Linked DNA regions of Mus musculus: regions 1, 2, 4 and 5 are each reported to be linked to region 3. The links are microRNA targets in miRTarBase. Many come from high-throughput screens and were not tested one by one. Region 3 holds a microRNA gene; each other region holds the end of a gene's coding sequence.

The links. Region 3 holds the annotated microRNA mmu-miR-7a-5p (UGGAAGACUAGUGAUUUUGUUGU, at 1,524-1,546, opposite strand). A microRNA usually pairs through its seed, bases 2 to 8, with sites in the 3' UTR of a target mRNA and lowers its output. Matches are read on the target gene's strand: a 7mer-m8 pairs with bases 2 to 8, a 7mer-A1 pairs with bases 2 to 7 and ends in A, and an 8mer does both.
Region 1: miRTarBase lists Sike1 as a target of mmu-miR-7a-5p. Seed matches in the 3' UTR shown: 7mer-A1 at 4,301-4,307.
Region 2: the mRNA of Nipal4 is a reported target of mmu-miR-7a-5p. Seed matches in the 3' UTR shown: 7mer-A1 at 4,614-4,620 and 8mer at 4,125-4,132.
Region 4: miRTarBase lists Ptk2 as a target of mmu-miR-7a-5p. Seed matches in the 3' UTR shown: 7mer-m8 at 5,304-5,310.
Region 5: the mRNA of Ddx27 is a reported target of mmu-miR-7a-5p. Seed matches in the 3' UTR shown: 7mer-A1 at 1,904-1,910.

Annotation. Positions count from the first base shown.
Region 1 is chr3:102,999,814-103,006,533 of GRCm38, reverse strand. It overlaps Sike1 (suppressor of IKBKE 1), which reads right to left. Exons shown (of 5, transcript NM_025679.3): 5 at 2,620-4,826. The coding sequence ends at 4,725. Among named protein-coding and RNA genes, the nearest start is that of Sike1, 7.4 kb to the right of the region's middle.
Region 2 is chr11:46,144,261-46,150,638 of GRCm38, forward strand. Nipal4 (NIPA-like domain containing 4) reads right to left here. Exons shown (of 6, transcript NM_172524.3): 6 at 3,895-6,378. The coding sequence ends at 5,886. Adam19 (a disintegrin and metallopeptidase domain 19 (meltrin beta)) reads left to right here. Exons shown (of 23, transcript NM_009616.4): 23 at 1-3,087. Among named protein-coding and RNA genes, the nearest start is that of Gm35624, 19 kb to the right of the region's middle.
Region 3 is chr13:58,391,318-58,395,317 of GRCm38, forward strand. It overlaps Mir7-1 (microRNA 7-1), which reads right to left and starts at 1,569; the gene lies at 1,462-1,569. Hnrnpk (heterogeneous nuclear ribonucleoprotein K) reads right to left here. Exons shown (of 16, transcript NM_025279.3): 9 at 3,848-3,976; 10 at 3,161-3,468; 11 at 2,993-3,047; 12 at 2,759-2,842; 13 at 2,536-2,551; 14 at 2,375-2,457; 15 at 1,879-2,048; 16 at 1-1,099. The coding sequence ends at 1,069.
Region 4 is chr15:73,199,990-73,206,587 of GRCm38, forward strand. Ptk2 (PTK2 protein tyrosine kinase 2) reads right to left here. Exons shown (of 35, transcript NM_001358046.1): 35 at 5,116-6,271. The coding sequence ends at 6,059. Among named protein-coding and RNA genes, the nearest start is that of Ago2, 18 kb to the left of the region's middle.
Region 5 is chr2:167,032,885-167,039,604 of GRCm38, forward strand. It overlaps Ddx27 (DEAD box helicase 27), which reads left to right. Exons shown (of 21, transcript NM_153065.3): 17 at 679-773; 18 at 850-970; 19 at 1,152-1,239; 20 at 1,589-1,660; 21 at 1,755-2,061. The coding sequence ends at 1,773. It overlaps Znfx1 (zinc finger, NFX1-type containing 1), which reads right to left. Exons shown (of 14, transcript NM_001033196.2): 14 at 2,909-6,279. The coding sequence ends at 3,841. Among named protein-coding and RNA genes, the nearest start is that of Ddx27, 21 kb to the left of the region's middle.

The sequences.
Region 1 (6,720 bases), not on the chromosome of region 3:
CCACTGCCTTCACCGTAGACCAGGCTAGAACTCAGAGATCGGTGGGCCTCTGCCTCTCTCCTGCTGGGATTAAAGCATGCCTTTTTGTTTGTTTGTTTTTGAGGCAGGGTCTCACTATATGACCCTAACTGTTCTGGGACTCAATATGTAGATCAGGCTCATCTCTGAACTCATAGAAATCTATCTGCTGCTAACTCCAGCCAGAGTGCTGGGATTAAAAGTGGGCTAAGTGGCCTGCCTAGTACTGGTAATATTTGGGTTTTGCTTTTGTGGTGCCTGAGGTTTGAGCCAGGGCTTTGTGTATGCTAGGCAGGTGTTTTCCCCACACTGGTAATAACTGAGTTCTTAAATTAGGTAATGAATGCATGATAATGTGCCTGCATTGCCATCTTATCCCTTTTTTTTGGGGGGGGGGTTGTTTTGTTTTATTTGGTTTTTTTGAGACAGGGTTTCTCTGTGTATCCCTGGCTGTTCTGGAACTCACTCTGTAGACCAGGCTGGCCTCGACTCAGAAATCCGCCTGCCTCTACCTCCTGAGTGCTGGGATTAAAGGCGTGTGCCACCACACCCAGCGCATCTTATCCTTTTATAAATGCCCAATATTACATAAAAATTTAAGTGCAAAAATAAGCACTGATAACATTTATATGTGCATGGTTGTTTAGAAATTTGTTCCTGATCAGATTTCTTAGATATAGGCAACTCAGGCTAATTTCAACAAAAATGGTTTTATTAATTTCATTAAAAATATTTCTCAGGATCTCTTGGGCAGCCAGGAAATGAGACTTAAGAGGTTTGCGTCTAATGCTATAAGGATGTTTGCAGCAAGTCTCCAGTCTCCACTGCATACACTGGGTCTTCCACAGCTGCCTGCTAGCACTCCAGACCTGCTCTGCTGCTCTTCTATGGAGCCAAACCCAGCAGCAGCCTGTGTTGCTGGTCCCCAGGTTCAGAGGTTTCTGTGTGGCTCCCAGCTTTGCCATATCACTAACTTTGAAATTCAAAGCAGCTGAATCTTTCCTCGATGCCAAGGTGGCTGGGAAACTGGGTAACTGGTACTTCCAGATTCTTTAGGAAAGAGGGAGGCTCTGCCACGTTAGGCAGGGAAACTTTACCCAGGCATGGGTAGGACATTGAGCAGTCAGTAAAGAAATAACAGTGTCCACTACAGCTCATTTTCTTAGTGACTCAACGTAGGCATCCCTGCAGCTAATAATTTTAATTTGTTAAAAATTATATTTACGGTAAAATGCCTTACTGTAACAATCAGGCCTTACTGTTTTCTCAGTATGATTTCTCTTTGCTAAGAGGATACTGATTTTATTTGGCACGGCTGTGTACCTAGCTTCCTTTGCAATTAGACATGTCTATTTAATAAGTGAGGCAGATATGGAGAGAACTCCATTAGAATTTCTGGAAACGTTTGCTTTCCCCATGTGTCTGTAGTGTAGGGCAGGCAGTTTTCTATTTTTTCCCTGTCTTCCACATGGGCATGACATCTGACACAGCAGTAGCCTATAACAAGATAACAGCATCACAGACGGAGCCAACGTGGAAAAAGGCACCCTGTGCAGAAATGCACCCTTCCCTCCACACTGAGGACCACTCACAGGCACAGCATTCTAGGGACCATGCAGCAGCGTGAACTAAACAGAAGTCACGGTATTCACAACACACAGGCCATAGTGTCTCTCTTACCCTGTTAATTAACCTGTTGACTGACTTTGCCGATCAAGATCCATGAACTCCACAGTTATGTGCATTTAAAGGTGCCTTAACTTGGTCCTTAAGAAATGTGCTGAAGAGTGCCTGAGTGTGATTCTTGGCTCCACTTTGGACAAATTAGAACCTTCTAGTATGTATGGAACTGTAAAGAACTGAAGCGGGGATGCTGTGTCAGCTGACACAGAAAACCCCTTAGTATAAGGAAGTAACCATTGCAGGACCCCCTGGACTTCGATTCTGCAGCTGTTTTCTATGTTTTCTCCTAGCACCACCCCTCCCCCACCCCCTTCCCTGGTCAACTTTTAGATTCTCAAATAACACAGCCCTTTCTGTGCTGTATCCTACACTTACATCTGATGTAACACACTGCATCAAAATTATCTGCACAACATTTTGTTTAGTTTTTTGAGACAGGGTCTCTTGTAGCCCAGGCTGGTTTTGAATTTACTATGTAGCCAAGAATGACCTTGGATTTCTGCTCTTCCTGCTTCTGCTCCAAATTCTGGGATTACAGGCATGTGCCACCATGCCCAATTTATCTGCTGCTATCGGGCAGGCAGCATAGAGGGGAATAGCGCTGCTATATCCCACCCCTCTGTAATATCCCTTTACCACTCTTCTCATTTTAAAGTCGGTTTGTTTTTAACTCCTAGTGAAATAATTTGCACAGAACATCATACACAATTTATCTGTTTGTGTGTTGTAGGTCAGAAGGTAATTTTTAGAAGTTGGTTCTCTCCTTCCCTCATGTGGGTTCTGAGGAATTGAACTCAGGCCATCTGACTTCATGGTAAGCACTTAGACCTGCTGAGCCATCTCCTAGCCCTAACAGACATGTTCTTAAACCGGTACTGCCGTTTTCTGGAATGATTATTAAGATGTAAATTCCAGATTCCATCCATAAATTTCTATTTCATTAGGTGCATTTTAAGAAACATGGAAATAGACTTCAGTGGTAAATTATACATTCAGGACTTCTGCAATGAATAGGTTGTTAATGTGCTTTTCAAAGGTTTATACTGCTGAATATATTGAATAATTGCAAGCTGCTTATGACATCTATGTCATGAACACTTGCCATGGTTGCTATGTATGTGAATATGTGAAAAAAATCTCCTATACTTCTTTTTGCTTTTTTCAAGACAGGGTCTCCCTGTGTAGTCTCCTGGGACTCACTAGGTAAACCTGCATGTCCTCGAATTCAAGAGATGTGCCTCTGCCTTCCAAGTGCTGGGATTGCAGGTGTACATCGCCACTGCTCAGCTAAACTTCCTTTTTTTTTCCAGCTCAACTTCTTAGACTCATTTCTCAGTAAAATGAGCAAATCTTCTCAAAAAGGTTTTTATTAGTTAATATAATTTCATACTAAAATTTTATACACTAAATACTTCCACCCATTGCAAGAGATATTAGCATCTTCACACAAGTGTGAAACATTCTTTCTCCATTCAATGTGCTAGCTCTGCAATGCCTTCACAGCACTAACACCAGGCAGAATTTATACGACACAGGGCACCGAAAGCTTGCTCTACCCTCAGGACTGCAATGGAGAGATTCCTCTGAAAGCTAGATGCAAAGACCTTTGTAGTGAGTGCTACGGGAACAGAAGGCAGATAAAGAAAGGGACACCATGCTCACTGCTGAAATAGACTGACTGATAATGCTCTCACTGTGATGGGACCTGCTGTGACAGCTGACAAGTGGTAAAGGAACCCACCCCTGAATGGGTTTGTGGAGTACACACTTGGGGCCCTTAGGGGAAACATCAAGGGGAGCAGCTGGAGTGAAAGTTAACATGGGAACAAAAACCAAAGTCCATCTGGGCAAACAGTGCAAAAGGAATTATTTATAAACCTGACATATGAGCAAACCAAGATGAGAAGGAACTGACAGGGAGCTATTAGAATCTCAGGTTGTTCTTGATTGCCTGAATGCATGGCATCAGGAATGTGGTAACTTTCTGTGAGTAATAAAATGCTTCCATGAGAAAACCCAGCAGATGGAAAGACAGCAAAGTACTGATGCCGGTCTAAACCATCCCAGTGGTGCTGCTCTGCACAGCACAGCACAGCACAGCTGTGTGTCCATGAAAGTGCCTAGGAGCTAGGAACCTGTGAGTGAGGTATGTGTGTGTGTGTGTGTGTGTGTGTGTGTGTGTGTGTGTATGTGTATGTCTCATACAAGGCAACTACCTAAGCCGAAGACTCCTTAGGCAGACAGAATGGAAAACTACTTGGTCAAATAAATAAAAGCTATTTTTGGCATTTAAGTCCAATGTACATGTACAGTCATGTACATCTAATAGCTCCCTGTGCATGATGGGGCAGGCCCAAGTTCCTCAGCACTCTCTGAATGACTGTGGATCCTTGAGGAGGAGGAGGAGCAACGCGAACCCGGCTTACTTGTTTTCAAGCGTATTTCCTGGGGACTAATAGATTCTCTCAAATTAAGAGCAAAGACACCTGACCACAAAGTGCCAACTCCTAGCACCGGAGAGGATCAAACCCCATGGATGAGCGACGTCACTCAGAGACTCTGCCAATCTGCTTCTTTGAAGTCATGCTACTTTTACAAGTGGAAGAAAAAAAAAATCTAGGTTTACACCAAATATGTATTTTTAAAAAGTTAAATCTTTGAAAAACTCTTAGAAGGAATTTTTATAATCCTATATAAAATAAAATCCTGGCTTATAATAAAAGTGTTCAGTGTTTCCAAGCTGTGAAAAACAACATTGAACTGCAGGTAACAGTTTATAGAGATTCCGGACTAGAGTGACAAATGTCATCTCTGTCCCAGCAATGGGGGACTTGTCTAGTTTCACTAGTACACCCCAAACTAGTTAGTGGACAATGAATACCAAGTGGCAATTCTAAACTGCCACCCCATACCTCTACCCAACACTAAGTCAAGTCTGCGGCAGGACTCTTGGACACGGCAGGAGAGGAGGGCACGGCTTCTCGCTCTGACGGGCAAGCTGTAGCCAGCCTTCGGAAGTCCAGTTACTTGATGGTCTGAGAGGCAGGAGCCACAGAGCTTTCTTTTCCAACCTGCAGAGATTCACTGCTGATGGACAGTAACTCTCGAAGTTCCTTATTTTCAAGCTGGGGAGAAAAGATATTTCCTGTGTTTTAATTGTTAAACTATGTCAGAACATACTATTTTGGCCCAGAAAGAGGAAAAAAAAATTTTTTTTTGGCTTTTCTTTTTTAAGATTTATTTATTATTATACATAAGTACACTGTAGCTGTCTTCAGATGTGCCAGAAGAGGGCATCAGATCTCATTATGGGTGGTTGTGAGCCACCATGTGGTTGCTGGAATTTGAACTCAGGACCTTCGGAAGAGCGGTCAAGTGCTCCTATCTGCTGAGCCATCTCACCAGCCCTTTTTTTGGTTTTTCGAGACAGGGTTTCTCTGTATAGCCCTGGCTGTCCTGGAACTCACTCTGTAGACCAGGTTGGCCTTGAACTCAGAAATCCACCTGCCTCTGCCTTTCAAGTGCTGGGATTAAAGGTGTGCGTCACCATTGCTCGCTTAAAAAATTGTTTTTTAAAGACAAAGTCCTACTGAGTGGAGTTTGCTGGCCTAGAAATTGATATGCAGATCACACTGACCTTAAACAGATACCTGCCTGACCTTGCCTCCAGATTACTAGAGGTATGCTCTGCCACACCTGGACTTTAAACGATTAAGCCTTTTCATTTTAGATTTATTTCAATATCTTATGTGTATGAATGTTTTACCTCCATGGATGTCTGTGCATCATGTGCATAGCTGGTACCCTGGAAGGTCAGAAGAGGGCACTGTTGGTCTGGGACTAGAGTTACATAGGTCGTGAGTCACCACCATATGGGTGCTAGGAATCAAACCAGATCCTCTGTAAGAGCTACAAGGGCTTTTAACCACTAAGCCATCTCTCTGTCCCTAATTTAATTACTAATTTTGATAATTGACACCTATCACTTTCTTTTTTAGCTAAGGATAGGCTACACTCTATCCTTATCCTTTTTGTAGAAAATTATTGTCTATTTTGAGATAGGGTCTTATGTAGTAGGTGAGGTGAGGCCTGGCTTGGAACTCCTGACCCTTCTGTTTCTAAGTCCTGGAATTACAGGTGTGTGTTGCCATGTCCAGATCTTTACGGACACCAAGATAAACTACAGCATTTCCAGCTTCACCAAGAGGTTGAACAAATCCTCTACCATATAAACGGCTTCTCAGTTCTCTTGATTTATTTTTTACTTATGTGTATGTATTGTTTTGCATGCACTTATGTACGAGCACCATCTGAGTGCCTAGTGCCCTTGGAGGCCAGAAGAGGGCATCAGATCCCCTGGAACTGGAGTTACAGATGGTTGTGAGCCACAATGTGGCTGCTGGGAACTGGGTCCTCTGCAAGAGTTGTACGTACTCTTAACTTCTGAGCTATCTCTTCAGTCATAGTATTCTTAATCTTTCTTCTAGCACTTATATACCATTCTGTACTCTGTCCTTCCTTCATTAGATATGAGCAGGGACCTTATCTTTTTCTTTTGGAATTTCTCAAAGGGCCCACTATAGGACCTGAAATAACCAGTCAAATCTTCAAACCACCCATTGAAGTGTCTTCTCTGCATATTTTTACACTCATACACATATAATTACATTTTAAAAAAACCCATGATTTTACTTGTTATCCACCCTCCCCCCCCCTTGCAATAAGGTTTCTCTGTGCAGCCCTGGCTGTCCTGAAACTCATTCTGTAGACCAGGCTGGCCGCAAACTCAGAGATCCTCTGCCTTCCAACTCACATGTTATTTTATACATGTGAGTGTGTGTGTGTGTGTGTATGTATGTATGTATGTATGTATGTATATGTAGATGTATGGTACATGCATGCCTAGTATTCCTTCAGGTCAGAACAATGTCAGATGACCTAGAACTGGAGTTAGGGATGATTGTGAGTGACCATGTAAGTGTTGGAAACTAAACTCGGGTCCTCCCAAGGGCAGCAAGT
Region 2 (6,378 bases), not on the chromosome of region 3:
CAGGCTGCTGAGGAAGCTACTGCTACATCCCTACCCCAAGGGGCTTGGTCAAGGTGCCTGTTCCTGGCTCTCTGGCTGCATGTGATAAGCCATGCTCCCCTCCCCTGCCTTTCTTCACATTCCCACTCCCATATTTACACGGGTCACTCTGACTCAGACAGGTACTATTTGTAAGTAGCATAGACAGCAGGGGGGTGGGGTGGTCAACCTGTGTCCCCTCTGAGCCGTTATGCCAAAGGTCACTAAGGACATTTAGAATCCCCATCCATCCATCCATCCATCCATCCATCCATCCATTCATCCATCCCCAGTGTTCCATGTGTCACCTTCTCCTTTTCCAGCATCCCTATCCTATGGTGCTTTGGTGGTGAACTATGGCAGTCCTGACTTGCTGATGACCATATGCTGGTGACCTACAAATCGGGATCCTGCCATATGGGGTCGCCACTGGACTTTCTGCACTGGATCTCAAGAGCGTTGAGCCGAGTGGGCGTGTATGTGTGTGTGTGTGTGTGTGTGTGTGTGTGTGTGTGTGTGTGTGTGTGTGTGAAAGAGACAGAGGCAATGAGAGAGACAGACATGCAGGCAGGCCGACAGCTCTGCATGTACTTGTGTTTTACGGCCTCAAGCAGAATAAGGGACCTCCTCCTTATTTCTGACTCATATCTAAGTAAGGTTCCCCAGGACAGCCACAGTTGTACTGAGGGGGGCTGACATGTTTGGCATCCTGGCTATAGTATTGTATACACAGGGCCACCAGCCCCGCCCTAGTGGTCAGCTCTGAGGGGGGACTGGTGACTCTGAACAGATCGATGTCAACAGCCATGGTGAACCAGATCTGGGCAGGGTTCCCCAAACTCTATTCAACCAGAGTTTTATCACGCACCTCATCGGGTCTCTCCTGGTTGCTGCCCCGAGGTGATCGTCATGGAAAATGCTGAGAAGGTGGGAATGGGATGGGGTGGACCTTCTCTTGCTTGGTGCTCCGCTATTTGGAACAGTTCTTACACATTTGCTGGGCCTGGCCTCTGAGAGGCCATCTTCCACCCCCAGAAAGGTGCTAATGGCACTGCAGAGGGCTCTCTAGGGGCCTCCCCGCCCCAACAGCAAGCAGTTGTTAGCTCTTGGAACCCTCCAGAGGAAGAGGCAAGCGTTTGACTTCCCCTTTACCACCTGAGGCCTCCTTATATCTCTTCCCAGAGTAAGCTTTGGGATTGTAGACATGTGGGAGCTATGACAGACGTGGCCTGGGGTAGAAAGATCTCAGGAAAGCACCTTTCTCCTTTTCAGGGTGACCGTGCTCTTCACACTCTCTGAGGCCTCAGTCCATGTCCTATATCAGTTTCTCTTTTGTGTGCTTTACCAAGTGGCCGGTGACTACAGGCCACCCCGATTCTCACCACAAAGTTAGAAACCCTCCACTTTCTGTCCCTTGAACCATATCAGAAAAAGACCCATTTCCTTGCTCTTTGGTAATCACTTCTGTTTTTTTCTTTTTCATTACTTTGCTACCACCTCCATCCCATGACATTATACTGTGAAGTGTAAGAGGACGGGGTTTTTTTAAACTTGGTAGAAATGTCGGCAGCTGCTCTACACACAACTTCACTCAAGGCTTTGTTTCCAGAGGCCAGCTAGGCTGTCACAGGCAGGAATCCCTTCCCATCTGCTTTGTGAAGGGTCCCATACAGGTGTATCTAGACTTCAAGGACAGGGTTTGTCTCACAGGATTGTCACTTAGGAGATGAAAGAATATTACCACATGAGGAGGAGGGGCAGTTGCAACAGAACACTTTGGTCTTCCTACACCAAGTCTGTGAGGGCATCCAAGACTGAATGAAAGCGCTTTTCTTATGCATACAATGTGAGCAAGAACAAGAACTGTTTAAGGCACCTCTGTTCCCAGCCACTGAAGAGAGACGTCAGAAGATGTTAGAATAGGTCAAAGCCAAGGCTCTGGTGGGCTGAGGGAAGGTTTGTAGCTGCGTTTAGTGGTATACATCTTTAGTCCCAGCATAGGCAGGTGAATCTCGAGTTTGAAGCTAGCCTGGTCTAAAAAGGAAGTTCCAAGACTGCCAGGGCCACACAGAGGAAAAAAAAAACCCTCTAGAAAAACAAAAATGAAGACAGGATCTCATGTATCGTAGATTGGCCTTTAAGTCACTTTACCAAGGATGATCTTTGAACTCCTGAGTACAGACTGCGGGTGTGTGCTACCATGCTTTATGTGGCCCTGGGTTCAAACACAGCCCTTCATATGTATATAGCCAAACACTCTACAACTGAGCTACATCCTCCAGCCTAGGCTGTAAATGTTTTTTGGAGCTAGATTAGCTGCCTGCCAACCTTAGAACTGCAAAGCCATTCCTGACCTGTAAACCTCAGCTCTCCATCTCTATAAGAGGTATAGCCTGGGCTAATACCGTCCAAGTTACAACTCCTTGCTTGCTTTCTGTTCCTTCTAGCCTTGGTGACTTCCACCAGGAAGAGAATACCCCCTCTCTACCCCTGCTCCAAGACACTGTAGATGCTAGTGTCGGAGTGTTCTCTGTAACGCGACAGTTCCTTCTGTTGCAATAGCCCCCCTGCAACACTGCAATAATCCTTCAGTGTCTCCCCTGGGCTCAATTCACTTCCTTATTTGACAAAGTGGAGGTGAGACTTGTATTCTTAAAATTGGAGGCTAGTTATTTTGTCAAATGCATGTAATGAACAGACCCGAAGGAATCCTCCACACACAAGCCAGGGAACACCAACTGGAAAGGTACCCCGTCCCAGGGAAGCCTGCTAGGGAGAGGTTCTGTAGAATCCGAGCCTAGCACCCCAAAGTCATGCACCCAGTATCCTCTTGTATGACTGTATATGTCTATGTCTGGGATCCAGGGCAAATGTGAATTTTCTTTTGATTTGGGAGATTGTTCACAGGAAGTAGTCCTCCCCTCTCATGTCCTCCTATTGATTGTTTACAATATTTGTACATCTATGCAAAATACTTGAATGGGCCATGGTGCCTTGTTTTTTGTTGTTGTTGTTATTTTTTTCTCCTTGTTTGTATTTAATTAAAACAAATTGTCATGAGGAAATGTTCTCTGTTTGGATGGCTCTTTTGTGTGTGAACTGTTTCGGTAATCCCACTGCCAGGACCACTTAAGACATGTGATGTGAACGTCTCAGAGGACTCATACAGACCAACAGCCTTCCAGTCGGCCATGACCTGTGCCACAGTGATGCCCCGGGGTTTCCCATGGCCAGTAGTCAGGGCTGCCTGCTTTGTACCTGTGCTCAAGATAGTCTGGTTTCATTAAATCTTGGATTACCAAAGGCTTTCATAATCTTTTAGATTCTAGAACATTCTTCTACACTATTAACTTTAGAAGACAGCTGAGATACTCTGTGACCAACTCTCTTCACTAGGGGGTGTGCTTTAATGAAGAGGAGAGACTTAGTGTGGGTCCCGGGCTGAGTGGGTAGGTGCAGGGAGGCCAGCTTGTGTGCACTTAAGATTTCCCAGGTCTGTGTGGAGACTGCTGGTCTCTCACCAACTTTTACCCATTTCCTCCCAGCCTCTGTTTTGAGGTTTTCTAAGATTATTAATAACCACAGGAGTTTTACTGTGTAGGTCTGAATGAAAATGGCCCCCATAGAATCATAAGGAGAGGCATTAATGGAGGTGTGGCCTTGTTGGAGTGGATGTGGCCTTGTTAGAGCAAGTGTGTCACTGGGGGCGGGCTTTAAGGTTTCAGAAGCTCAAGCCAGACTCAGTGTCTCTTCCTGATGCTTGGGGGTCCAGATGTAGAACCCTGAGATACCTCTCTAGCACCAGGCCTGCCTGTGTGCTGCCATGCTTCCCTCCATGACGATAATAGAGTAGACCTCTGAACTGTAAGCCAGCTCCAATGAAATGTTTTCCTTTATAAAAGTTGCCATGGTCATGGTGTCTCTTCACAGCAATAAAACCCTAAGATAGTCATCTCATTGAACCCTCATGTAAATGCTAAGAAAGCATCATCCTTCGTATTTCATATGCTTTTTGCCATATGCCTGGCTCCTAGTAAGGTCATCACCTCTACATGAATGGTACTAAGAAATACAGCAACCTTCCCTGTTTGAGTGAGGGCAGATCTTGGAAGACACAGGAGGGCTTTGCTTTGGAGATCAGGGACTGGCATCCCAGTATGTGAGAGGAACCAGTGGAGTGAATTTGCTCCGTGTACATGGAAGGTCAGGACATTTGTCAAGTAAACACACCCTGAAGTCTTTATTACTGACCCCAGAGCCCACGTTCTCAGAACCTTCAGTTTACTAACCCCCCCCCCAAGATCCAGTGTGTTGCATTGATTTCAGTCACAGTCAGAAATCCACATTCATGAAAATACTGGGGATTGGGAAGGTATAGGGCCCAGAGTGTTGATCTGCCCTAAGAGCTTGTCCAAGGCCAGAAACAGTTTGACCTGGGTGTGGTTGTACTTAGGGGATCAGATTCGAACACAGGATCGTATTTTGACAGTGCTACGTACACTGAAGATCAAGTTTCCCCTTCCCCACAAACTGGCTCCTAACTTCACTCTCTTATGCTCCTTGTGTCAAGTCTACACTTTCACAGCTGTAAGAACTGGAAGAAAAGGCTCTCTCTCTCTCTCTCTCTCTCTCTCTCTCTCTCTCTCTCTCTCTCTCTCTCTCTCCAGCTGCTATTCTCTGACTGCTTCTGGCCAAATGTAAGGTCACCAAAAGTGACCCTAAGAGCAGGTGATGGTGGAGGACTCATGGCATGCTGTTTCCAGTGTGGGCAGCTAGGTTGTCAATGGAGATAAACTCAGTTCCAGTTGGGCCAACAAGGCTGTGTCAAGCCTGCACTCCCATTTGATTATTGGGATTCTAATCCAATTCCACTAGATACAGCTAGGAAATTTCCCCAGAGGTCTGGTCCTTGCTCGAATCTGAGTCAGGCCAAACATTATGTCCAGGTTTCCATAGAGCCCATGACTCCATTCAGACAACCATGACATTGTGTCTTATACTCTCCCCCTCTTCCCCAAGTCATATCATAGTCAATTTCTTGATGCAAAGAAATTGCATTCTGCTAAATTCCAGCATGACAGCACAGTGCTGTTCTCTTCCCAGAGGCTGCTAGGTGAACATGGGTTTGAACAGCGGAGCTGGACTAGGAGGCATCCCCTGCTGTTGGTTCTAAGGCTACAGCCTACACGTGTCAGTGACTGGTATCTTGGGATGGGCAGAGAGGGAAGGATAGTAGTGCCTGCCACTGGAGGCACAGACAACAAGATGTGACCTCAAGTGCTTGGAGAATGGGCCAGTTGAAACTTCCCTGAGACATCAGGTGGTATTCACAGTAAGAAGGTCAGCTGGGGTCTTGCTTCTGTCTACAAGAAACACCAGGCTACTTAGTATGTGCTACACACCTTGGCATGACGAGGCATGCAGATTGCTCTGCACTCCCCCACAAGCTCCATTCCCGGGCTAAGGACTGAGAAGTCCAGCCTGACAGGCTAATTGGTGTGAAGGAGTTCCCGATGACCGATAGCTGAGGGAAGTTCTTGAGCTGGGCTACATTCAGCAGGTCAAATTCTACCAACAACATGGTGGTGTTGAGGGACCCAGAGGGGAGAGGCTCTGGGGACTTGCTGGTTCTAACAGAGACTTGTGGATTTAGTCACCAAGGCTGTATCTCCAGGAAGTCCTGCCCCTACCTTACTGGGTAGGGATTTTTCTTCTTCGTCTAGGAACAGCAGTGAGGTATAAATGAATATCTCAAAAAAAGAAACTAGCCCTTGGCAACAGATGTGCTGAAAGTAACCAGGTAGTTGTGAACTTGAGAGGTCAGGCTGGACCATTGGCTGCCTCCTCTTACTCATGCATTCCAGGCTTTAAGAATCGGTCATAAATACTTTGGGCTTCTGTTGGGGTGATGGTGTGCTGGCAAGTTCTATGTTATCTACAAGGACATTCTTGTCTTCTAGTTTAATGACTGTGGGCTCTGGGGCGGGAGCTGGAGTTGGGTTTTTGTGCGTGTGGGGCAAGCTGATTTGGTTGATGTCCAAATCCTTGAAAGCGTGAAGCATAAAAACACCCAGGATGATGGTGACGAAGCCAGACAGGGTGCCCACAATGTCCACAGCAGACATGGTATACCACTCCTTGAAGAGGACGATGGAGGAGGCCACCACCACCGTGGTGAAGAAAACGTAGTAGATGGGGAAGACCAATGAGGTGTTGAAAATATCCAGTGCCCTGTTGAGGAAGTTGACCTGGATGATGATAGAAAGACCCAGGATGAGGGACAGGATGTAAGGGAGAGGGTGCCGCACAACTGGTAAGCCCTGGAAGAAGTTCCTAATGGTGACACCAAGCCCCTTGACG
Region 3 (4,000 bases):
GAACTTTTTCCATTTTTTTCGAATCGTTCACAAACATTTCCTACATAATTCAACACACAACAGAGAAATGGTACATCTTTTTTCTTTCATTGTGCATACAATGGAAAAACAAGTATATATATATATTTTTACAAAGTTCAACTAACAAGACACTAGCAGGTTGACAGCTTTAAGTCTATAGGTGAGAAATTATCTAACAAAAATAACCAGGATTTATTCAGCATCAGCCACTTCCATAACCAAGTTTACTCTGGTTAATAAAGCTCATTGCCCATCAGGCTTCTGGCATATACTTAAGATGCGTAACTCTTGTAGTATTGCTCCCCACCGCAGTTCTCCACAACTAACAGAAAACTGTTGAAAAGTAGTGGCAAACATTTGCAAAAACAAACAAAATCCCAAGCTTATTATAAGCATGAATATGTGATGGAAATTTATCAAGCCAAGTCTTTCCAACCATTAAGAAGTCACCCAAACTGAGTTTGCCAATGTATTTTGTCTATGTCCAAGAGGTGCACTTATATCCAACAGAGGAGCTGCTGAAAATCAAACTTAGTGTTTAGTTTAGGGGTGGGCTGGAAAATTCAACCACCATTTGAAATTGTCTTAAAAAAAAAAAAGACCACCAAAAATAGATTCACTAAATTTATTTTAAAAATCATAAAACGTTTCTTACAAAAGAGCATTACATTCTGCACACTGCTCTGAACAAATGCCAGGGACATGTGGACTATTACTTTCCTCCCTGTCCCACCCCCCAATGTTACAGTGACCACAAAGTAAGGTGTTCACAATAATTACATGGGGGGAATTTTTTTTAAAACCACCAACAATGAACAAAAAATAAAAGTCACTCACTCTGCTGCTGTTTCAAAATTTCAATGTTAGTTTTTGCATGCCCTCCCCCCAACCCTGTTTGTAAGGAACTAAAACATTACATCTGGTGAACAGCAAAGATTTCACTACACCTCAAATGCAGAACACCTATGAAGCAGAGGAATGTTGGCTTTTTAAACAGAAGCAGATAAAAAAAAAAAGATGCAGGACTCCTTCAGTTCTTCACTAGTCTTAGAAAAACTTTCCAGAATACTGCTTCACACTATAAAAAAGAAAAAATATCTTGCATTAGAATCCTTCAACATCTGCATACTGCTTCACACTATAAAAGAAAAGAAAAAAAAAGTACGAATTAGAATTTTTGTTCAAAACATCTTAATCAACATTAAGACAATTTCAATGATAAATTAAAATGATAAACATGTCCATTACAATTAGAAGAACTTTTAAAGAGCAATAGCAACTATAAATTAAAGCAATGTAAAACTCAAGAAAATGTTAATAGACAGTAGTAGTGCAGGGTTAAGAAAATGAAACTGGAAGCTGTTAATACTTGGTAGGAAAGACAAAGGAACATGAGGAAGGTGTGAAATGCTGCGTTTGACAGCACCATCATTATCTGTCCTGTAGAGGTGGCCTGTGCCATATGGCAGACTGTGATTTGTTGTCGTTTTAGTTATCTAAAAACAACAAAATCACTAGTCTTCCACACAGAACTAGGCCAACATCCAATGTCTCTTCTACATTTTCTACAGGCTCTGTATAAATTATTACAAGTGGTGGTTTTGGCAGCAGTTTTCACCAGAGAAATGAGAAGTTTGCTTGGTTAAGGCTTCTTCCAGCAAGATTAGTATTGAATGTCTTCATTTTAGTAAGAAAACAGAAGAAAATTAAGGCAGAGCTATTAATTAGAATATTTAGAAGTTAGATTCCCCAAGTGACGGAAACACCATGGTTTCTAAAAGAAGAATCAATTGGGAAGAAAAGCTTTTTAAAGGTTTTAGTATGTGTACACTAACATAAAGCTAAGGGTCAACTGACCTGTTCTGCAGCAAATACTGTGCGTTCTGTATCTGGTCCTGTGTTCCTGTAATGGTAATGATCCGATCTTCAGATCCTTCTAAAGGTTCATCAATTTTGATTGATGCTCCAGATTCATGACGAATTTGTTTAATCCGCTGACCACCTTTGCCAATAATAGATCCAGCCAACTGAAAAGATTGTAAGTGTTTATGATGACTTGAAAGAAATTTTACTCCCTTTTATCAATGACAAAATGTAATAACTTTATAGTAATTTATTTAGAACGTCAGTCTTAAATTCCTGAAATAAATTTTACATATGTGTATTTTAAGAACCCCAAACTGTCTTCTTTTTGTCACTAAGTATCATTTGATCTAAGGTTCAAAATACCCCCTCCATTAAGTTCTTAAACATTATCTCAATCCTAAACTGGAAGTCTTTGTCCAAGAAGCAGCAACCAATACAAGTAAGTAAATTCCCCGAATTAAAAATACTCTAAATTAAAAATACTTACATCTTTGGGAATAGTTACTTGTGTAGTGATAATAGGTCCGCCAAGATCACCATATGAGCCACGGCCCCCTGCATAAGAATAGTCTGATTTAAATAATGAGCAGCAAGTTCACATAAAAATAAGATTGAAATAATGTTTGATTTCAAAAAGAAGAAACTTACCATATCCAGAACCACCCTAAAAACAAAAGAAAAAAAATTACTTAATATTTCTAAAATATCACAGAGCTTAGAAAAGCAAAGTCCTCCCATACCACCCATACCCAGTTTATCCAGGAAATAAACTGAATCAAGAAATTACAGGGGTAGGGAGGGGAGACCAATTATTATGGACAGTCAAGGTAAATTACCAATATGTACATTATTAACATTATTGATACTCAACCTGTGGTTCATAAGCCATTTGCCATTCTGATGGGCTCCATGTGTCAATTGCAGAATCCCAAGTTTCATCAGCACTGAACCCAACCTGTATTACATACATAAATACCAAACTTTTAGAGGGCTGTGAAAATAATTTCAATTTTAAAAAAGCTCTTAGTACTACAGTCTCACACAAATGTTTGGTTATAAGGTCTCTGAAAACACACATGCCGCCCTTATAAATCAAAATTCTTACCATGCCATCATAGCGGTCTCCAGGCCTTCCTCTTCTGTCATAAGCCATTAGATCTCTGCAAGCACATGTTGCAATGTTTACATGGTCACATTAAAATCACCCCCCCACACACACACACTGCTAAGTGCAGCCTCTTTTATTAATGTTAATGTTTGGATAAAAACTTACCCCCCTCTGGGTGGTGGTGGAGGAGGAAGAGGCAGATTCCGGGCTCTGCTGCCACCCCGGCCACCTCGACCAGGTGGTGGTGGTGGAGGTCCTCGACGAGGGCTCATATCATCATAATCTCTTCTAGAAGGAGGCATGGGACGCCCACCCCGACCAGGAGGCATTCTGTCAAAACCACCTCTTCCCCTCATGGGGAATCCCACAGGTCGTCCTCGGCGGTCATCAAACATCATTGTAAAACCACCATAATCATAGGTCTCATCATAAAAGTTGGGATCATAAGGTTGTGCACGTCCTTTGATGGGAGACTAAAAACAGAAACACAGCACCTTAAAGCCTGAAGAAAAATAGCTCTGGTCCTATCAATTAACCCATCTCAACCATTATTAACTCAAAAGGTAACAGAGGCAGGGACACAATGAAGCAATGATGGAAAGGATTTCTAACATACTGACCGGGGGGCGGGGAGGTGGATGTGGGTCAGAGACAGAAGGATCATTACCCCAGATATCTCTGTAAGAAGTGGGTAACATGGCACTACAGGGACCTTTGAGTAAGGACCAAAGGCACTATATTAAAGGAGGCAATAAAAAACTTGCAGGGAGATGTCAAAATTAATGGTGTGAATACTGTCTTATTTCTGGTAGTTAGATGAAACTGAATGAAATAAAAATATCCCAAAGATACCTCAGATATAAGGTCAAGGATGATCTTGATGCATTCTACAACCCTATCAGGTTTTCCTCCAATAAGAACAACTCTGTCAGTAGAGTGAGGGCAGCACTCCTGGAAAAGCTTGATTGTTGTCTGAGTGTTCTATAACATTTACAAAAGAGAAAA
Region 4 (6,598 bases), not on the chromosome of region 3:
AAAAGCAGGCAGGCAAGCAAACAAGTGACAACTCATGGTGGCAAAGATGTGGAATATGGGGAACATTTATCCATTCCTGGTAGGAGTGCAAACTTGTATAGCCACTATGGAAATCAGTGTGGTGGTTTCTCAAAATGAGAATTGATCTACCTCATGATCCAGCTATACCACTCTTGGGCATATTCCCAAAGGATGCTTCATCCTACCTCACAAGACACTTGCTCAACTATAATCATTATTGCTCTATTCATAAAAGCAAAAAATTGGAAACAACCTAAATATTCCTTAATAGAAGAATGGGTAAAAAATGTGGTACATTTACAAAATGCAATATTACTTAGCCATTAAAAAATAACATCATAAAATTTGCTGGCAAACGGATGGAACTAGAAAAAAAAATCCTGAGATAACGCAGACCCAAATAAATATGGTATGTATTCACTTATATGTAAATATTAGCTGTTCAATAATAACTAAGATACAATCTATAGAACCACAGAAGTTAGGTATAGAGTAAGGAACTAAGGGGACAAGTAGATCTCATTAGGACAGAGAAATATAATAGTTATGGATAAATGGATGGATGGATGGATGGATGGATGAATGGATGGATGGATGAATGGATAAATGGATGGATGGATGGATGGATGGATTGGTGGGAGGCTGGAATAGGAGGATCAAGTGGGTAGCAGGAGAGGAGATGGACATGAGGAGGAACACAGGTGGAAATATACATAAATTGAGGCCATTTGAAGGATAGTATGGAAACCTAGTACAGTATAAGATTCCTAACACATATACATACACAAAGATGATCTAAATGAAATTGCCAAAAAATGGGGGAGACAGAGCCCCAACTGGCCACCAAATGAAGCTTCCAGTACTGGGACTGCTTATATCCAATTGAGTTGCTGGCTAAAGGGCTACCATGGGAATTTCCAAACAATTCAGGCTATTGCTAAGACTATAGGTTGCTCTCTACAAACTGCCAGCAAGGTGTTGATGACAACACCTAGACACCTCATTGAACATAGAGAAGTCAAGTTGGTGTCTACATAGAGCCTTTACCCCGTTCTAGTGTTTCTGGTACTCTGCATACCACCAAAAGAAAAACGTAATCACCAAGTCAGCCATAAACTCTGTGATCACAAGACATGCTAGGGCAATGGTGGCACAAAGCTTGTGGGAGTTACTAACCAATATCTAATTTGACTTAAGGCCCACTTAACATGGAACCATACTCAACACTGCTTGGGTAGCCAAGAACCTGTGACCAGATAGCTCAGAGACCTAGGATAAAACCAACTACTAGTGTTCTAAAACAAAACACAAAGCAATGAAATGAGTCATAGTGACACAGCTATACTCAGATACAAGTGCCTTTCTTGCTCAGCCATCATTAGAGCTTTCTCCTGCAGCAGATGGGAACAAAAATGGAGACCCAGAGACAGACACTGGGGAGTGAGACCTTCAAAACAATCTCATTTAGAGTCAAGTGTTCCATCAAATCCTTCCCCTCAGGACTCAGGAAACTCAATGAAAGGAGATGAGAGTATAAGAGCCAGAGGGAATGGAAGATAACCAAGAAAACAAGGCCTCATCAACGTAAGTGAAGCTCATATGAGCTCAGAGAGACTGAGGTAGCATGCACTGGGCCTGTACGTGTCTGTGTCAGGTCTTCTATGTATACATTATGGCTTCCAGATTAGTGGTTTTTATGGAATTCCTGAGTGTGCAAATGAGTGGGTCTGATTCTTGTGCCTTCTCTTGGGCTGCTGGTTTATCTTCTACAACTCAGATGTGATAGTTTTTCGTTTTATTTTATATTTTATTTTGTTATATCAAAGGAAGAAGAAGAAAAAGAGGAGGAGGGGGACAAAGAGTAGGCAGGGGGAGAAAGAGGAAGAAGAGGAGGGGGGAGAGGAGGTGTAGAAGGAGGTGGGTGAGGAGGAGTAGGAGGGGGGGAGAAGGAATGCCCTATAGCTAGGTATGGTTAGCTCACATCTGTAAGCTTCACCACTCTGAAGGTTAAAAAGTGCTAATGAAGGCTAAGAAAAAGAAGGGGAAAACCCTCATTGCATAAGAACAAGTCAGCAAACAAAACAACACAGCCACCATTCAGGAAGGCAGTGAAGTCCAGAATACAAATTAGAAAGCTCGCCAACTTGAGCTTTCCTTTCTCTTGACTGGGTGGCAAGGCAAGTGGTTTGCCTTCATAGGTCGCTGCTGTCTTGGCAGGCAGGCAGGCAGGCGGGATCAGGGAGACTCATCTGAAGACTTGAGGGTCGGATGAACTTTCCACCTGTCCATACAGCTCAGAATCCAGAACCATTTGGTGAGGGTTTTGAGGGGCTTCCGCAGGGCACTGCCAGCTCCTTGTTCCACATCTGTCCTCTGGCCAGTCACCTGCCTCCCGGATCTCACAGCCAAGGTGTCTCTCTTCAGGGTATATGGTTTGATACTCACCTGTGACTGTTAGAAGAAAATCAAGGGAGCAGTGGAAGTTGGAATGAGGCAAAGGTGCTAAATGTGGTGAACCCTCACCCTGCTGCAGCCCGAGAGCTCAGCTCAACTCTTGTTTCCTTGGCTTATGTGGCAGCATCTAGAGCATTGAAGGTCAGAAGGACAGAGTCTAGCCTCTGAGGGATGAAGTGAAGGACACCCTCTTTTATGCATGCTATATAAACATCCCTATGGAGACTCACCCCTAGCTCATGATTGATGTCTTAAAGAATGGACTCCGCAGAAGTAACAGAGCAAAAGACTGGCAATTCCTAGTCCGTTTTCCAGATGACCTAAATGCCATATGTCCAGAAAGGAACAAGGGTTTGCTCTTGGGAGTTCCATGTTTTCCTGAGCATTTGCTCCACACTCCCCGGGGCTGTGTCACTAGCTGCCTTTTCCCAGGCCCAGTTTTGTTTGGTCTGGCTTTGTGGCTCAGATCAGGAAAAGCCTAGCAATTCCCTTAAAGTGATGCATGTACAGACAGCTTCCTAGTCTGGATAGACAGACTATTATCAGATACTGAAGACATCCAAAGGGAATTCTTTCTCAAATTTATGGCTTTTCCTTAATGGCTGACTGTGTGTGTGCGTGCGTGCATGCGTGTGTGTCTATACTTAAATATACAAGTATAACACGTGCAGGCGTTCAGTTTTTTTGTTTTTGTTTTTTGAGACAGGGTTTCTCTGTATAGCCTTGGCTGTCCTGGAACTCACTCTGTAGACCAGGCTGGTCTCGAACTCAGAAATCCGCCTGCCTCTGCCTCCCAAGTGCTGGGATTAAAGGTGTGTGCCACCACTGCCTGGCATGTTCAGTTTTTAAGTTAACTTGCAGGAATATTTTCTCCTTGCAGGACTATTTCTCCTGCTCTCAGCATTCCTTGGTTACCTGAAATTCTCTGTTTAGAGTTGAGGCCTTGTGGTCTTCCCTCTATCCATGTTGGTAAGTCCACTGATGCCATCCTTGCTCAGGTAGCCATGTTAGTGACTTCATGTGTGTAGCTTCTCTGACATCCCTAGGAGACACAACCCCACGAGAAATCCCTGCTCTGGCTCTCAGTCTTTCTGCACCCTCTTCTGTAGTGATCTGAGTCTGAGCCTTTCATGCAGGGCTTCTATTATATTTATCTGTTGGGACTATCCTCCCTGCCCCAACTCTGCACTTTGATCAGGTGTGTGTGTGTGTGTGATGGTCTCTGTCTATTGTCGCATAGAGAAATTTCCTTGATGAAGGGTAAGGATTAATCTATATATCTGGGAAAATGCTTAGAATAGAGACTATATTCATTTAATAAAGTGGCAGTTTTAGGTTATCCTCTAAGAATCATGACTTCAGGCTGGAGAGATGGCTCAGTGGTTAAGAGCACCGACTGCTCTTGCGAAGGTCCTGAGTTCAAATCCCAGCAATCACATGGTGGCTCACAACCATCTGTAATGGAATCTGATGCCCTCTTCTGGTGTGTCTGAAGACAGCTACAGTGTACTCACATACATAAAATAAACAATTCTAAAAAAAAAAAAAAGAAAAAAAGAATCATGACTTCACTAGACAAGCTGGTCACCCCCCACCCCAACTTAATTTTCTAGACAAGGTCCAATTATATAGCATTGGTTGGCCTAGAACTTCCTATGTAGACCAGGATGGTCTTGAACTCAGTGATCTGCTTGCTTCTGCTTTCCAAGTGCTAGGGGCTCCTCTGTCTACATTTTTGAATCGAGACAGAATAAAAGCAAGACATAGTGACTCATGCCTATTACTTATACACTGGAGAGGCTTAGCATGAGGATTGTCATGAGTTCTAGGCTAGCCTGGGGTACAAAGTGAAACCTTGTCTCAAAAGACCAAACTGGAGCTGGTGAGTTAGTACAGCAGGTAAAAGCACTTGGTACACAGCCTTACCCGAGTTCAATCCTTGGAAACCTTAGTAGATGCCTTAGTAGATGGAGAGAACGGAGTCCTAAAAGTTGATTCTGTATGAGCATCTCTCTCCCTCCTCCCTCCCTCCCTCTCTCTTTCTCTCTCTCTCTCTCTTTCTCTCTCTCTCTCTCTCTCTCTCTCTCTCACACACACACACACACACACACACACACACACACACACACACGAACCAAAGGGTAATAATAAATTTCTACAAAACAAACCAAGCCAGGCATAGTGTGCGGATCTTGAATCCAACATTTGGGAGGCAGAAGCAGGTGGTTCTCTATGAGTTTAAGGCCAGCCTGGTCTACAGAGTCAGTTCCAGGACAGCTAGAGCTATATAGTGAGACAATATCTCAGGGAAAACAAAAACAAAAATAAAAACAAACAAACAAACAAACAACCCTCTCCCAACAAAAATACACAAAAAACAAACCTCCTTAAAAAATAAAATAAAATCAAGCAAGGAACATCTAAGACCCTGACAGAATGGAAAGTCAGGGTATGCAGAGCGATTATCTCTGGTGGAGTCCTCCACTTTATACAAGAAAAAGGAAGAGACTGGTGAGTTGTGAGCACTCCTGTAAGTGACCATTTCTTACAGATCCCCTGAACAATTTTAAATGATTTGAAAGAAAAGAATTTCCTCCCCCATTAAAGAAAAAAAAAAAAAAAAAAGGCAATGCAACCTTTCCCGGCGCCACCTTTTTAATAGGTCAGAGGAACTGTACAATTTATTATATTCTTCCTGAGAATAATTTATATCCCCCAACAAACTAAAGGGAAGGTATGCTCTCAAAATCACCTAACAGAATGCATGGTATACCAACTGGACATCTAAAGAAAACCACATCCCTGTTTGTCCTGCGGGGTCCTCCCTGGGAAGACAGACGCAATGAAGGTCAGTTAGCTCCAGTGGCTGTAAGAGTCAACATGGCTTTAATTATTCTTATAAATTATATAAAAATGGAGAACAGGGCTGGTCCTGGAATTTCTTGATGCAGTTGGGAGTGCTCTGGTACAAAACTGGCACAGAATTCTGATGAGGAAAGGCAAGTTTTTGTCAGTTCTACAGATAGTTCGCAACCCAATGCTTCAGTATCCACAGGAGAGAAGGCGGAGACAGGGAGGGCAGAAGTTTTCTTTTGAAACCACTCATTCTTCAAAATATAGCTTTTATGCACTTTCTCTATAAATGAGATTAGCATATTGCAACACAGTCTGGATAGGAATTCTGGCAGGAAGGATAACCAGTCTCCATGGTCTCAGGGAACCCTCCCTCCTCAGACATTTCTCTTCCAACTTGAAGTCATGGTCAGTATGAATTACCACTTCTAGGAACACACATCCCAATTTGAACACCAAGTATATTTTAAAAGCTTCTTAATGTATAATCTTCATTCTCAGAAAAATGCCACATTTTGGATCCAGAGTTTTCTGAACACTATTTAGAAAAATAACAAAATCAAAACCATGTATAAGTGATGAAACTTATACAAGAGAGACTTTCAGCTAGCTGTCATTCAGTTGGAGCCGTGAGCACGGGCTACAGAGGCTAAGGTTACTTCCTCGCTGCTGGTGGAATGCTAGAGAAGATCTCCCAAAGGGCAGAAAGCCACGTTCAATGGCCAGGGGCTCAGTGTGGCCGTGTCTGCCCTAGCATTTTCAGTCTTGCTTGATCAATAACATCAAGTAGGTTCTTGGCATCCACAGCCAGGGCGTGAGCAGCTGTCAGCATCTGCTTCTTATACTCCTGCTGCAGGCTGGTCATGACGTACTGCTGCGCCAGCTTCATCTTGCTGATGAGCTCGCCTAAGTCGGAGTTCAGCAGCTTCTGTGCCATCTCGATCTGGAAAGACAAGAGAGAGGTCAGAAGAACGGCTCCCAGGCACTGGTTCTGAGTCTGTCTTTGAGCCACCAAGACAAAAAAGAAAAAAAGAAAAAAAATTTCCCTGGAAGAAACTTTCCTTAGAAGTAACAGGATAAGTTGGGCATGGTGGACAATGCCTTTAATCCCAGCACTCCAAAGGCAGAGGCAGGTAGATCTCTGTGAGTTCCTGGTCAGCTTGGTCTATACAACATACAACAACTTCTAGTCCAGACAGAATTACACAGTGAGGGGATAAAAGGACCGATTTCAACAGGATGTGCAATCTGTCTGTTTGTCCCCTTTGGA
Region 5 (6,720 bases), not on the chromosome of region 3:
TATCATAGTTTTTTGTTTTTTGTTTATTTGGTTTTTTTTTTTTCCCAGACAGGGTTTGTCTGTGTAGCCCTGGCTGTCCTGGAACTCACTTTATAGACCAGGCTGGGCTGGAACTCAGAAATCCGCCTGCCTCTGTCTCCCGAGTGCTGGGATCAAAGGCGTGCGCCACCACTGCCCGGCTTTTTATCATAGTTTTATTGTGTTAGTATACTTGGCACTCTCTCTCCCTCTCTCTCTCTCTTTCTCTCTCTCTCTCTCTCTCTCTCTCTCTCTCTCTCTCTCTCTCTCTCATCACACACACACACACACACACACACACACACACACACACCACCTGTCCCTTCCCCACCACCCTCACCTTTGGTGCTGAGTGTCTTTCCAGCAAGCTCCTTCCTGACTTGAAGTCTCTTTTCAAGGCTGCTGCATTTAGTGAAGTCTCTGACATGAGCATGAGTGGGATGATTCTCTTGAACAGGGTCACCTTGCCAGTGGCTGCACCACTGAAAACCTCAATTCCCCTTCTCCCAGCAACCATTAAGGGAGCAGTCCTGCCCAGGCCCTCAGTCTTCCCTGAAGGGTACTTTACTCAGTGAGCTGTCACCTCTAGTTCCTTCTCATTTTAAGCTTTAATGACATAATCAAATAGCCCCTAAATTCCACACTCTGTCCTCACTCTAGTTGCTAAGGCTCTACAGGAGTTTGACTTGGCCTTAAGAGGAAAGAAGAAAAGGAAGAAGTTTATGAAGGATGCCAAGAAAAAGGGGGAGATGACGGTGAGTGGCCTCCCTGTGGAGTAGGGTCCCATGAAGCACTGGTGTGTTCTGTGCTCATCCCTCACTCTGCCCCCAGGCAGAGGAGAGGTCCCAGTTTGAAATCCTCAAGGCACAGATGTTTGCAGAGCGGCTGGCCAAGAGGAATCGCAGAACCAAGCGAGCACGGGCAATGCCTGAGGACGAGCCTACAGGCCCTGGTAAGTGATAGGGTGTCCATTCTGAGGCTCGCACCATGGCAAGAGCTGGCAGGGATGGCAGTGATCAAGCTTTGGAGGAACTGGGATGTATCCTTGAACCTGGCCCTCCATGGATTCTGGAATTCTCTCCCTCAGTGTCAGGGAACTCAGTAGCCTCTGACCCATTTTTCTCTGTGTATAGCTAAAAAGCAGAAGCAGCAGCAGAAGTCTGTGTTTGATGAAGAACTCACCAACACAAGCAAGAAGGCCCTGAAACAGTATCGGGCTGGGTAGGTTTAAAGTGCCGCTCACACGAAAGCACCCTTGTCCATGCTCGCTCACTCTGCCTCTTGCCTAGCGCTTCCCAATGCTGTAATGATGAGCAGAGCAGAACTTAGTGTGCTTCCATAAGCCCCCTCATCCAGACAACTTCAAAAAGCCTCTGCCCACTGATGTGAAATTGGTGTCTGGCTTCCAGAACTGCACATTGTTCTGCACAAGCCCACAGGAGACTGAATCCCAGGCACTGCACTCCCCTCAGGGTACCCATCCCACCTGGGCTGGCCTGTGAAGCCAATATGGGTGACATCCCTCACGTGTCCCACAGCCTACCCATCTCATTCTTCATCTGTCTTACAGCCCTTCCTTTGAAGAGAGGAAACAGTCAGGTCTGCCCCGCCAGAGGAGAGGGAACTTCAAATCTAAGTCCAGGTGATGTTGCACTGTAGAGGGCAGAGGCAGTACCCATGGGCGGAGAGGCAGGCTGGGTGGGAGGCAGTACTTATAATATTGATTTCCTTAATAGGTACAAGAGAAAGAAGTAGTCTCAGTGGTGTGAAGAAGTTGGTGGGACAATTTTATATCCCTTCCCTGTGGGAAGTCATCTTGTCTTGGTCTGGTTTTTTTCCATATATAAAACCCCAAACCTGGGGCTGGAGAGATGGCTCAGACTGCTCTTCCAGAGGTCCTGAGTTCAATTCTCAGCGACCACATGGTGGCTTATAACCATCTATAATGGGATCCGATGCCCTCTTCTAATGGGTCTGAAGACAGCTACAGTGTACTCACATACATAAAATAAATAAAATCTTTAAGAACAGCAGACCTTCTTGAACAAGCCTGTTGTCTGTGAATCTGTTGGGTTAGTATCTAGGAGCTGTTTCTTAGTGTTAGTCATTTATGCATGCATGCCTTTTTAAAAATGTGAGCATCTCACTGTGTAGCACAGGCTAGCTTGGAGCCTGCTGTTAAGGCCTCCAATTTGTGGTACTGTAGAGATTGTTGGGGTTACAGGTACGCACTGCTGTGCCAGGGTTCCCTTCCTGACTGGCTTCCCTACACATATTAAATGCAAGTAGTCTATCTGGTGAGTTTAGACTGCCTTACCTCCGTTTGCAAAGGGCCTGTTCTCCAGCTGCATGCCCTGCTCACAGCTGCCAGCTCAGGGCTCTGTGTTAAGTCAAAGCTCACCTGCTGCTGGGCTGTGGGTCAGACCTGGCTCTGCCTTTGGTGGGAAGATCTCCATGTTAAAAGATGGGGCCGGTGAGAAGTCTTAGTCAACAAAGGCAAGACTGACCGGGGCTCCATCTTGGGGACCCAGGCAGTGGAAGGAGAAACGCAGCCCCTCCCTAGTGTCCTGACACCAATGCCCACCGCATGGTCAAGCACAGTGAATGTGCTAGGAACAGCAAGCAGTGTAGTCTCGGGACTCAGGAGACATTTGCTGTACTTAGAGAATGTTACCATGGGTAAAATTTGGCTCATCAGTTAAATGACCTCCACTACCAAAAATGACATGCCTCACCATAGGCTGTGCCCTACCCACAATTGCTAATCAAAGTTAGGAAGAGAAACAAACCATGGGTCTAGGATGGTGATGGTTGTTGGACACAGCTGAAACCTTAGGTGCATCAGTTATCAATACAGCAACAAAGCAAGCACAGATAAGAGATGACAGGCTTTTTTCAATCATTGTTTTTATTAATTGGCTTTATAGGTTAAAGTGCATAGTAAAGACAAAAAAAGGAAATGCATACAATAAGAAAGGGGCTTTCCTAGACAACATTAGAAAGGACCTGAGATGCCTAAATCTGTTCTAAGGAACATGGAAAGAGATGCAGATGCAGGCAGTAGGCCTGGAGTCGGGGCCTGCAGAAGCTGCTGGCATGCTAACCCTACCCAGGCAAAGGCTGCAAGGGAGGGTGCCTGGATAAAGACTCACAGGAGGTGCTGCTGACACTGAACCTGCTGACACCACCACCACCACAGAACCTCTCCTGCAGAGAGACACATCCACCCCTGCTATCTGAGTGCAAGTTTGACGAGGGTGCAGGGGTCACTCAGCTTGTGTCTGCTGTGAAAGCCCCGCCCCACTGGGGACAGTGAGTATATAACTGGGCCATGGAGAGTTGAAGTGCCTGTCACAGGCCTCCATCTCCAGGAGGGCAGGAGCCCAAGGAGTAGGGTGCCTGGGTTCTTGTGCTCCTTGAAGGTAAAGTGGTTCCTAAAGCTCTCTCTGGGTTGCTGTTATTACAATGGTAGTATGCAAGTTAGGGCCTGGACATGAGAAGCAGTGCACCCTGGGCACGCGCAGAAGTGCTGGCCATGCCAGGACCCAATCACCCTAATATCCCCGGGTGGAGGCCGGAAGCTCCCAGGAGTCAGTCCTACTTGCTACAGTCGAGGAGCTGAGAACTGTGGGCTCTGCTCAGTGCTGGGGGTAAAGTGCTTACTCTAGCGCAGGGTACATATAGAATCACATGTGGGCAAGCCCTAAAAGTGGATCCTTAGACAAGTGCGAAGACTAAAGGACACTAATAAACTGGTTCCTCCATGGAGGAGCCAACCCTGGCTCTGAGGTGGCAGGGCAAAAGGCCTTGAGGTGCCATCTTCTACATCATCCTGTGGATCTCCTCAAAGTTCATGAAGTTGTTGGCTGTGTTCGACCAGGCAGGGTGCTGGGCTCCATCCATCTCAGAGGCCAGGTGGTTGCTCCTCTCTAGAGTGTGATTCTCCCCACCGATCACCTCCTGACACTCGGGACAGGTACTCCTTTGCATGGCGCCCCCACACTCAGTAATTACATAGATGTGGCCATTGGGGCACTTGAACCAATGCCCACGAGGAACACCCATGGCAGTGACAATCTGCACTCGTTCCTCATCTGAGATGCCCAAGCCAGAGCAGGGAAGGGTGGTTTTCAGAGCATCCATCTTTTTCTGCACAAGCTGTTCATCTTCCTGGGTGAACTTACTTGTCTTTTCAAGAATGTTCCGGATGCTGGAGACCTCTTCTGCTATGCTGCCTTTCACCTTCTCGGCCATCTTGCAGCGCATCAGGAGGTTCACCAAATAGGTGAGCCTCTGGATTTCACTCTGGAGGTCACTCAGTTCCTGGCTGCTGAAGCTCAGGCGCTTCTTGGCCAGCCACTCGTGGACCTGCTCAAGTCGAGTCCTCACGCTCTGCTGTTCTCCACAATGCACCTTCTCCAGTGACCCCTCCAGGTTGGCCAAGTGGTCATAGAAGCGGATAGAATTCTCCACCAGGCCCAGGTCCTTCACTGACAGGTTTTTCTGGGCCAGCTTCTCTTGAAGTATTAGGAATTCTTCAGGACGCAGCTGATGGAAGAGGGTCTTGCTCTTCAGCAGGGCCTTAAGTTGTTCCTGGCTGGTTGAAATCTCCCCTGCAGAGCCCTGGATCTTCTCCTTGACAATCTCGATCTCTTCCAGCCGCTGTTTGATGCTGGTTCCATACCTCAGGTTTTTGCGGATGGGTACCTGACAGATGGGGCAGACTTTCAACTTGATGGCAACTTCATCATCCTTCTGCTCATTCATGAAGCGGTCCAAGGCTTGCACTTCAAAGATGTGGCTGCAGTCTTCTAGCTGCACAAAGCGGGCATCAGGCTCATCCTCAAAGCCAAAAAAGATTTGGGTGACTTCATCTGGTTGGCAGACACGGCACTTCTTGGGACATGGCTCCCCACACAGACCGATGCAAGGGTGGCCACAAGCCAGCAGCTTGGTACAAGGCACGTAGCATGGGGGCCGGTTGCAGGGCTCTGAGCAGAGTTTGGTGCACTGGTAGTGCTGGCAGCGCCAGACGCAGGGCTCCACGCAGGGGCTGCACAGCTCCCCACACTTCTTCTTGCACTGGCTGTGGACACAGCGGTTCTGACATGTTCGCTGGCAGGGTGGGCACTCACCAGTGCAGGGCTCCTGGCACTTGTGTGAGCAGATGAGCAGGCGCTTACATGGCTGTTGACAGCGCTCATGGAAGCGCCCTTCAAAACAGCTGTGACAGGAGCCTGGGCAGGGATGGCCGCAATCTAGAGTAGTGTCACACTTGGTGGTACACTTGACTGGCAGACCATATTTTATATCTTCCACATTGCCACACTTAACCAGTTGACTGTGCCCACATTTAAGTTCCACGGTGACCCTTTCTGAACACAGCCGCACACAATCCTCACCACAGAGATGGCTGCATCTGTGACCACATCTTAGTATCTTGGAGCAAGGCTCCTGGCAACAAAACTCTGACTCTGACATTGAACAAGGGACCATCTGTTTGTGACCACACTTCAGAATGATTTTGGGCACTTTCACCTGACAAGGCTGACACTCTTGGAAGCAGACATTTGGGCACCGGTGCCCATCCTGGCAGAGGACTTTCTGGCATGGCTTCATGCACTGGAACTCCTTGTGGGAGGAGTCATATGGATGGCAGGCACGTGTGCACACATGACCACAGGCCAACCGGAACTCACAGGGCCGGCTGCAGCCTCCTTCCGGTACTTTCTGGAAGTCAGAAGCTTTGGATACAAGGGTGTGGGTCTCAGGGTGGTTCTGGCAACAGAGGCGGAGGGACGGGCCTATCTGGTTGTTCTCTCGAAGGGTATGGATGATCCTGCTCCACAAGGGCACCTTGGCAAGCATCTGCATGTTCCCAATGCAGTACATCCCCTTCTTGGCCCGGGACAAGGCTACGCAGATGCGGTTGGGGATCTGCAGGAAGCCCACCTTGCCCTCTTGGTTGCTCCGCACCAGTGAGAGGAGAATGATGTCATTCTCTTCCCCTTGGTACTTGTCCACCACATGGACCTTGATGCCAGCAAACGTCTTGACAGGCATGAGTTTGCGCAAACAGAAGAGCTGCCCAGTGTAGGTGGTGAGGATGGTGATCTGGGAGGGCAGGTACTCCTGGCACAGGAGGTACTGGCACAGCTCCACCACAAAGTGTGCCTCATGCTGGTTCTGGTGACTTTTGCCTTCTTGGATCTCCTGCTCAGGAAAGTTGTGCTCCACAAAGAAAAGGTTGGAGGAGACACCCTGGAAAATAAGGAGGCAGGCAGCACATCAGCACTGGGGCTGGAACCGGAGCCTCACCCGTGCTGTGCACGTGCGGGACCTCTGCGCTACACCCCAGCTCTCTGCACGTCATCTCTGGACACTGACCACTGAGCCACAGGAAGAGTCTTTGTGCTTTCTGTGCCCTCCATCTCCAGATCTTTACCTCTGAAGCAGTCATGTGCCGTGGCACTGAGCTGGAAACTAATTAACCTATTTTTGTTTTCCAAGTATTCAATCACCTGTCATGGGCAAGGGGGCCGCAGTAGCTGGTGATGAGAAGCAGCTGATGTCCGCAGCACGCGCAGTGCTGACTGCTGCACGTAGCCCTGTGCACGGCTCAGGGACTGGGCAGGGGCTGCTGTTATCACCCGGCTGCAGACCACAGCACCAGCATCTCTTGCTGACTTACTCATTCAGGGT